2 linked regions of the Struthio camelus genome follow. The protein of the gene in region 2 binds, or shares a complex with, the protein of the main gene of each other region. Links are inferred from orthologs where the notes say so. Each region holds a gene or a part of one and is shown on either strand. Other genes may lie near its edges.

The links. Proteins that work in one complex are often made in the same cells at the same time.
Region 1: POLR1E (region 2) and POLR1F share a complex: the UniProt entries of both Homo sapiens proteins name them as parts of the RNA polymerase I (Pol I) complex. The link is inferred for Struthio camelus from reciprocal best matches to the Homo sapiens genes POLR1E and POLR1F.

What each region holds. Positions count from the first base shown.
Region 1 is NC_090943.1:35,514,561-35,518,306, reverse strand, and holds the start of POLR1F (DNA-directed RNA polymerase I subunit RPA43), read left to right. Parts: upstream 1-1,598; 5' UTR 1,599-1,820; coding exon 1,821-2,038; intron 2,039-2,192; coding exon 2,193-2,334; intron 2,335-3,300; coding exon 3,301-3,509; intron 3,510-3,746. UniProt on the Homo sapiens protein: Component of RNA polymerase I (Pol I), a DNA-dependent RNA polymerase which synthesizes ribosomal RNA precursors using the four ribonucleoside triphosphates as substrates.
Region 2 is NC_090982.1:2,274,068-2,277,813, forward strand, and holds the start of POLR1E (DNA-directed RNA polymerase I subunit RPA49), read left to right. Parts: upstream 1-870; 5' UTR 871-929; coding exon 930-990; intron 991-1,145; coding exon 1,146-1,249; intron 1,250-3,298; coding exon 3,299-3,375; intron 3,376-3,746. Other genes in the region: ZBTB5 (zinc finger and BTB domain-containing protein 5), read right to left, coding at 1-9. UniProt on the Homo sapiens protein: Component of RNA polymerase I (Pol I), a DNA-dependent RNA polymerase which synthesizes ribosomal RNA precursors using the four ribonucleoside triphosphates as substrates.

The sequences.
Region 1 (3,746 bases), on a different chromosome or scaffold from region 2:
AAGGCAATTAAAAGTTATAACAGTAGTCAAAACTTATCCAATCTTTGTAACACAATCTTTTGTCTAAATTACTGACTGTCAAATTTAGGATCACTGGGCAACTGTATGTGTGAGAAGGGTCATTACATGCAAAATCCTTCAGCTGAAAAGAGAAATTAAATTACTCTGATCACTAAGACACAATCAAAGGAAGATTAAAATAGGGAAGCTAAGGGTATACATATAGCTTATGGATATAAACCACTGTTCCTAGCAGCTTCCATAGATTATCATGTTGTTTTCTTCTGGAGTGCACAAACGTGGGAGAGATTAGAGACAAAGAAAGGAGCAACTGATCAAAAAGAATTTAGCAGACTGTAATACTAGGTAGTACTACATATCCAGCTTACTTTCATACTGATAAAGAATTCATGTACCTCAAAGCTGTTTCCTTATCTGCCTGGTGCCTGATGTTTTTACTGAAACCCCAAACCTTGAGGCAGGAACGCAGATGACGTACTGCTGCTCCCTGCTTCCTCTTAGCACACAGATACATACGTACAGAGAATTTCAATACTGAAAATCGAGATGTTTATCACAATTAGACGACTCCAAGAATAGTGGCAAACGAACAGGAGCTTTTAGGATTTAAGTTCCATTCAAAGACTACTGCTGGCACAGAAGTCTCCTTCTGGATGCAGATTTCAGTGACTGATATTACAAAGAAGTTTTCTTTTAAAGGTAGTTGAAATTTCTGCATTTGTACTGACATGCTGTTGAGAATGACAAAATTTGTATCAACCTTTTTGATGTCACGGCTGATGCTGAACTATCCAGAATGATAACAAACCAATCCAAGTGTCATGTAAAAAATTAAAAAATAACCTGCAGAGTGAAAATCAAAACTAGGATTACTTCCTCCCAAACCGGGTATGTTAACCAGCAGAGAATAGTCACCGCCTTATTTGTCCATAACAAATAAACAAACAAAAAAACCTACACACCTTCAGGACAGCATCACTCCTGCATGAAGCAGAAAATGTAGGTTTGTGTCCCCAAAGACAGAAGCTCACACCTCCATTTCCAAGACTTGCTGTCATCACCTCGGTCTTAAAAGATATCGAGGTGCGATAAAACAGCTTAAACATGCTTGTCAAATGCAAATATATATATTTTTTACCGGTTAATTATTTCTAACCTTACAGTTAATGATTAGAGGCAATCAGAGTTGATTCTGGGACAGAATTCGACAAATGGAAGTAGGACACGCTTGCACGTGTTCTTTTCCATCCACCCACACCACCCAGCACCCTCTGGGGCTTTTCACGTTTTCTCTTCTGACTCCACTTCCTTTAGGTATCGAAAACTGAGCCCTTCCCTGCCTCCCTCTCCCGCCAGAGGAGGAGCGACGGAAGGGGGCCCGCGGCGGAGTCTGTCCCCTCCCGCGCCTCGCGTCTCCGCCCGGGCCCCGCCTGCCGCCACGGCCGCCGCCAACGGCCGCCGCAGACAGACCCCCCCCCCGTCTCCTTGGAAACCGAGACAGGTGCGCGCGCAGCGGGCTCCCGGGGGGCCCCACCCACAGAGCTGTGACGTTGGCGCCCGGCCCCGCCCCTGCCGGACCTGGAGGACAAAGCTTCCGGCTGAGGGAGCGGCGGGAGGTCCGGGGTGTCGACTTTTCTGCTCGCTGCTCGGAAGCGCGTCGCTCTCCGAGGGCTTCCGTCACTTCCTCTTCCCGCCCATGGAGGGGAGGGGAGAGCGGGGGGCGTCATCGCGCCGCGCCGCGCCGCCGGGACAGGCGTCGCTCCCGCCCGCGCGGCCCCGTTCCTGGCAGCACCGACAAGATGGAGGTGGCGGGGGAGCGGCCGGCGCCCGCCCGCCCGCTGCCCTGCGCGGCGATCCCCTCCTTCGCCGTGGCCCGCGGCCTGGTGGGGCGCCGCTACTCCTGCCTCGTGGTGACGCCGCACCGCCGGCACATCGCCCTGGCGCCGCGCTTCCTGGGCCGCAAGCGCACGGGCATCCGCGCCCAGCTGGACGCCGAGCTCCTGCGCTACTCGGAGAGGTGCGGGCGGGGGGCTCAGCCCAGGCCTCAGCCCACCGGGGCCCTCCGGGGCAAGGGCGAGCTCCCGCCCCGCTCTGCCGGCGCTCTCCCCGCGCTGGCGGCTGTCACCTCCTAGCCAGCCTCATACTAACTGCTTCTCCCCTTTTGCTTCCAGCCTTCAAGGAGTGCCGGTGGCTTATGACAACATCAAAGTAGTGGGTGAGCTCGGGGACATTTACGACGACCAGGGATTCATCCATCTGAACATTGAGGCGGACTTCATCATCTTCAGTCCCAAGAAAGGGAAAAAACTGGTGGTATGTAAATATGTTGCCATCTCGTGGGGTCATTTTCTCTTAAGTAATCAAAATCATCACGAAGAGATTGGGGAGTCTTAGGTAGTTCTATAGTGGATGTTTTCATAGTCTGTGCTGCATGTTCCTAAACTTATTAAATGTCAGTGCTCCTTTCTAAGCAGCAGATATAACTCTTAAAACCGGTTTAGTTTGTTCTCCTTTAATAGTGACAGGAGTGTTTAGAACACATTGAAGAGTTTCTTTAAGTGCAAGTGCAGTACATCAAATGTAAGCCTGCATTTCAATAAAAAGTGATATATGACTCATGGAAGAGCTTTAAGCTTGTTAACACCCTTATGCCAGTACTTGTGGGAGTAATAAGTTGAGGGTTGACTTTTGTTGTTGTGCCATACTTTTGGAAGTATGGCTTGTATTCCTCTATAAATGTAATTGAGATGTAAAAGGTATTCCCTTCAGGGGAAGAGAATGGAAGAACCCTCTGTGTAGTTCATTCATCTCTAGGAAAAGGAGAAGATAGATAAAGTTAAATATGCAAATGTGTCACAAATGCACTGAATAGAGCACTTACAGGTTTTTTGTGTCACAGGTACTGCAGAGGTGAAAGTCATCTTAGAGATGTAAATCAGGCTTAAAATGGCTTTAAATCAACATTGGTCACTGCAGTGTGAGGAGAGTTAACTGTTCTATGTAGCTTCTCACTTTCTTTTTCTGAACACATTTCTTTTTGCAGATACAGTTTCAGTCTTTAATTTGAGTAGAGCTGTATGAAAATAGCTTTGGGCGTAAGTAGCTTTTCTACATGAAAATCAGTTAATGTATGAGGTCAGTTTATCTAACAAGTAACTTGTGCACAAAGAGTATTGTGCAAGAGTGTCTGTACAGGAAACTAAATGTACATCATGTGTCTCTTTTAAAGAGGTGATCCTTAATATATCTTCATATGACTGTTTTTTGGGTTTTTTTTAGGGTGTAATTAATAAAGTAGCCCCTAGTCATATCGGCTGTCTGATACATGGATGCTTCAATGCTTCTATCCCTAAACCCGAACAAATGTCGGTTGCCCAGTGGCAAGAGCTGGGGTTGAAACTAGGGGATGAATTGAAATTTCAAGTAATGCATTTAGATTCTGATGCAGCTGGAGTGTTCTTCATTCGGGGAGGACTGACTAAAACCAGGTATTGTACCATACTAGGGATATTTTTCTTAACTATTTGATTTAATGAATTTGTTGCAAACTAAATGATTTGAATTAACCTCTTAATCTCTAAGTTTTCTTGTTTTTACACAAACCCATGTCTATATATAGCCTGTGTTATTTTAAATATTTTTGTGTTGAGGGCTTGCTGAGAAATTTTTTCTCAAAAATAAATATTTTGAGCTTTAAAAATCTTAAGTGTACTCACGTGTGAACT
Region 2 (3,746 bases):
CGCCAGCATCTTCCCGGCGCCCCCGAGCCGCTAGGCCCCGTCGCAACGGAGCGAGAGGGGACAAAGCGGGAGCGGCTGCGCCCCCCCGGGAGGGGCCGGGCGCCCGGCGCGGCGCAGCCCCCTCCCCTCCCCTCCCCTCCGCCGGCGCCCAGGGCCGGGCATGCGCAGTGGACACCGCCCCCCGCGCTAATGTAGCGCACACGTCACCCGCCGCCGCCGCCCCGCCACGCGCGCCCGCTGCCCCCGGCCGGCCGGCCGGCCCCCTCGCGCTCACCTGTGTTCCCCTCCCCACCCGTCGCTCTTCGTCGCCGGGCGGGAAGGGCCGGAGCGGGGGGGGAGGGGGGTCGGCGGAGAGCGGGAGGGGCCGGGAACGCTCGTTGTCCGCGGCCCTGCTTACCCTGCCTCCTCCCCCCACAAGCCCCTACTCTCTAGCGGCCGCGCCGCCAGCCGGAAGTGACGCCATAGGGCTGCAGCCCACTCAGCAGGGAAAGGGCGGGGCATGCAGAGGAGCACGCTCGCACCCACAAGGAGACGAGCCGGCCAGCCAACCACAGGGCCGACAGCCTCCTTCTAGCCAATCAGCGACCTCGTTACTGACAAATAATCAGGTCCCCCGAGACTTGCAAATAAACTGGCCCCTGATTGGGCCGCTTCTGCTTCCGCCGAGCCCTCGGCGGGAGCGGCCCGCGCCCCTTCCCGGCCCAGCCGGCGTGTGCAGCCGCCGGCCCGGCCCGGCCGTAGGCCCCGAGCAGTGGGTTGGCCCGCGGCGGGGCTAAGGGGGTGATGCTGAGCGGGGGAACGGCTCGCAGGGGGCGGCCCGCTCGGCCGGGCGGGCGGTTCCTCCCGCGCGGTCCCGCCCGCCCTGGCCGGAGGCGGAGCCCCCCCGCCCCGCCCCCGCCGCAGCACGCTGCCGCTGCCGCCGCCGCGCCATGGCCGCCGCCACCTGGCGATACCGTGGGGATCCCGAGGCTGAGCAGCCCGCGCTGCTAGGTGAGGTGGGCCTGGAGCAAGTGGGGGTGGGGGGGGAAAGGGGGCCCGGCCCGGCCCGGCGCGAGGCTTCTTCCGCGGCAGGGTGGGGAGCGGCCCTAGGCGGGCGGCTGTTGGTGGCCCCGTGCCTCACGCCAGTCCCCCGGTCCGCCCCGCAGTCCAGTTCTCCAACGGGAGGCTGCGGGAGGCCGACGACATGCGCTTCACCGTGTACCGGGATAGAGACAGCGCCAACCCCCGGAAGAGGCACCGGAGGATCCTGGTAAGTGCTGCGGCCGCATCCCGGGTCACCCTTTTTTAACTAGCGCCTGGCCTTTGTAAGCTTTGGCGGTTTTGCCCAGAGGAGTCGCCGGGAAAATTTGGAAACATACGTGTTTCTGTATATGTACGTTTTTAAACTTACTGTTGTAACAACTATAGTTCTAAAAATTACCCACTTAATACATTTTAGCTTCTATATAATAACTTACATGTTAGCAGCAATGAGTTGTGTATCAGAAGAGTCCCCAAACTGCCTCCTTCTGCATCCAAGCTCCTGTTCAGCTGTTAGGGATCAGGGTGAGATTCCACCTGACACCTGGCCTAGGAAGCATAAGTAATCCCATCTCTGCATATTTTGAGGTTTGGGTATATTTTTTACACCATTTTCCTCAAGGCTCTGGTGCTGACAGCTTCCACAAATAAGAACTAGAAACCCTGGTAAGATAAAAAGTGTTGTCTAATATTTAAGGCACCTCTCTCCCTCTCTTCAAAGCATTTCTTGGTTTCCTATTTGCTTTTGCAAATACAAATACAGTGAATGAGCCTCTGAAAATCAGTAAGGACTTTATTTTGTAGACTCTTTTAAAAGTGATCAGATTTTGAGCCCTTCCTTCCAATTTTTCCAAAAAATCTCTATGTCCTGATATATTTTAGGGATTTCTGGGCAGTTCTAGTTCTGATATTGGCTCCCATTGTAGTAGAGAGAGGAGTGATGGTGGTGGAGGTAGGGTAGAGCAAAGTTTAATGTGCAAGATAGCTCTGCTTGAGGGTGAGAAGGGGATAGATACTTGTTTTCTTACTGTGAAGTTCTGGTGAGTGAAGTTCCCAGCAAACGCAGTTTATAGTTTCTCTAACAAGCCACAAGATGTCAACAGTACTGCAGGGAGGTAGTACCAAATATTGGTATGCTGCCAAGGTCTCAAAGCATTAACTGTCCTCTTTTGAGCATTTCAGGATGAGACAAGTGAATGAAACAAGCCTCGTGCTCTTTCAAACATAGCATTATTGGGCTGTGACTTTTGGAATGGAAAGGAACCTGAAACACACAGTATAGTATATTATACTGATAGTGACAAATGAGAGTTAGTAACCTTTCAGTCAAAACTGAATACCTGCTTAATTAAATAGTTTTGATTGATACACAGTGGTGTATTCTGAAGCTCATGCTGATATACTGATGTTGCATGTGCTTGATTTACTCTAGTAACCCAGCTAATAAAAGAAGTAATGCGTGAAAATTAAAAGCTGCTACTTAAAAGATAACCAGGTCCATGCAAGTACAAAGTCTGCACATTGTTTCCTGGTTTCGTTGTGTTTACACAATGAATCCAAATTCTTTGCCAAAGTCTTTTTTTGATTAGATTACATTTTAAGGAATTTTTTCTTTCTTTCATTGAAGAGAAAGCAGAGTTCCAGGTCAGAAGGTGCTTTTGACTGCTCTTGTGACGTTTTACAGCTGTTTACATGCATGGCTCACTCAAGGAATATGTGGTGGTTTTCAGCCCAAATCCTCAGGAGAAGGATTTCATACAGTAGAGGCACAGGCGTTTAAAATGTATTTAGGTGCTACCTCATAGTGCTTGCTCTTTATCAGTCAGTTACGGTCACCTGGCAACATTAAATCTTTAAATGGCTCATTCACAGTTACACGGAAACTTTTGGCCATTGCTTCTGGATTGAAGCATGGTTGTCAACCCAGCCAAGTATTTTAATTGTTGTGACGTGTGGGTTTGTTACCGCCATGAACTATTAATTTAAAGTATGAGTCTCATGATTTCCTTTTAATGATTCTTTGTCTTCTGGCTGCTTGATAGAACAAGTAGGCCAAGAAAGAACAAGTACTTGCAGCTTCAGAAGTGTCTTTCTTTTAAAGACTTTGACCTGATGCAAAATGCTCCCAAAGAAGACAAAATGCACTTTATCTACACATGACTAGCATCTGATGCCTGGGAATGCAGAGCTTTGTGGTACTTGGGAAAATAAAATGGATATAGAGGTTAGTCGCAGACAGATGGCCGCCCGTTAAGGTAATTTTTCCTGTGTTTTTCAGGTCTCGGAAACTGAAAGGCTTTCATATGTGGGGAATAACTTTGGCAGTGGAGTTATGAAATGTAATTCCCTATGCAGGTATGGGCTGCGGGCAAACCTGTGGCAGGGACCTGGTGGCGGAATCTTGCCTTGTGTTGGCGTACCCATCTTGTCTTGCCTTTGGGCATACCCAAAGGTGCTGCTTTTTTTTCTCTCCTTTTAGTGTCTGTTTCTGCTTCTACTAACTACAGAAACCTGAAACGTGTATTATGCATGTTGGATCCATAGTCCCAAGTGCTCTGCTCCACAGATCTGCTCCAGTTGTTTTATCCTGTTTGCTGATGTAGCCGGTATCTCTCCTGTAGTGTGACTGCACTGACCTGGTCATGTCTTATTAGTTAAAGAACGGGTGCGGAGAGAGAGTGAAGAGCAAACAGTTGTGTAAAACTGTCAGCAGCAGGAGGTGCTTT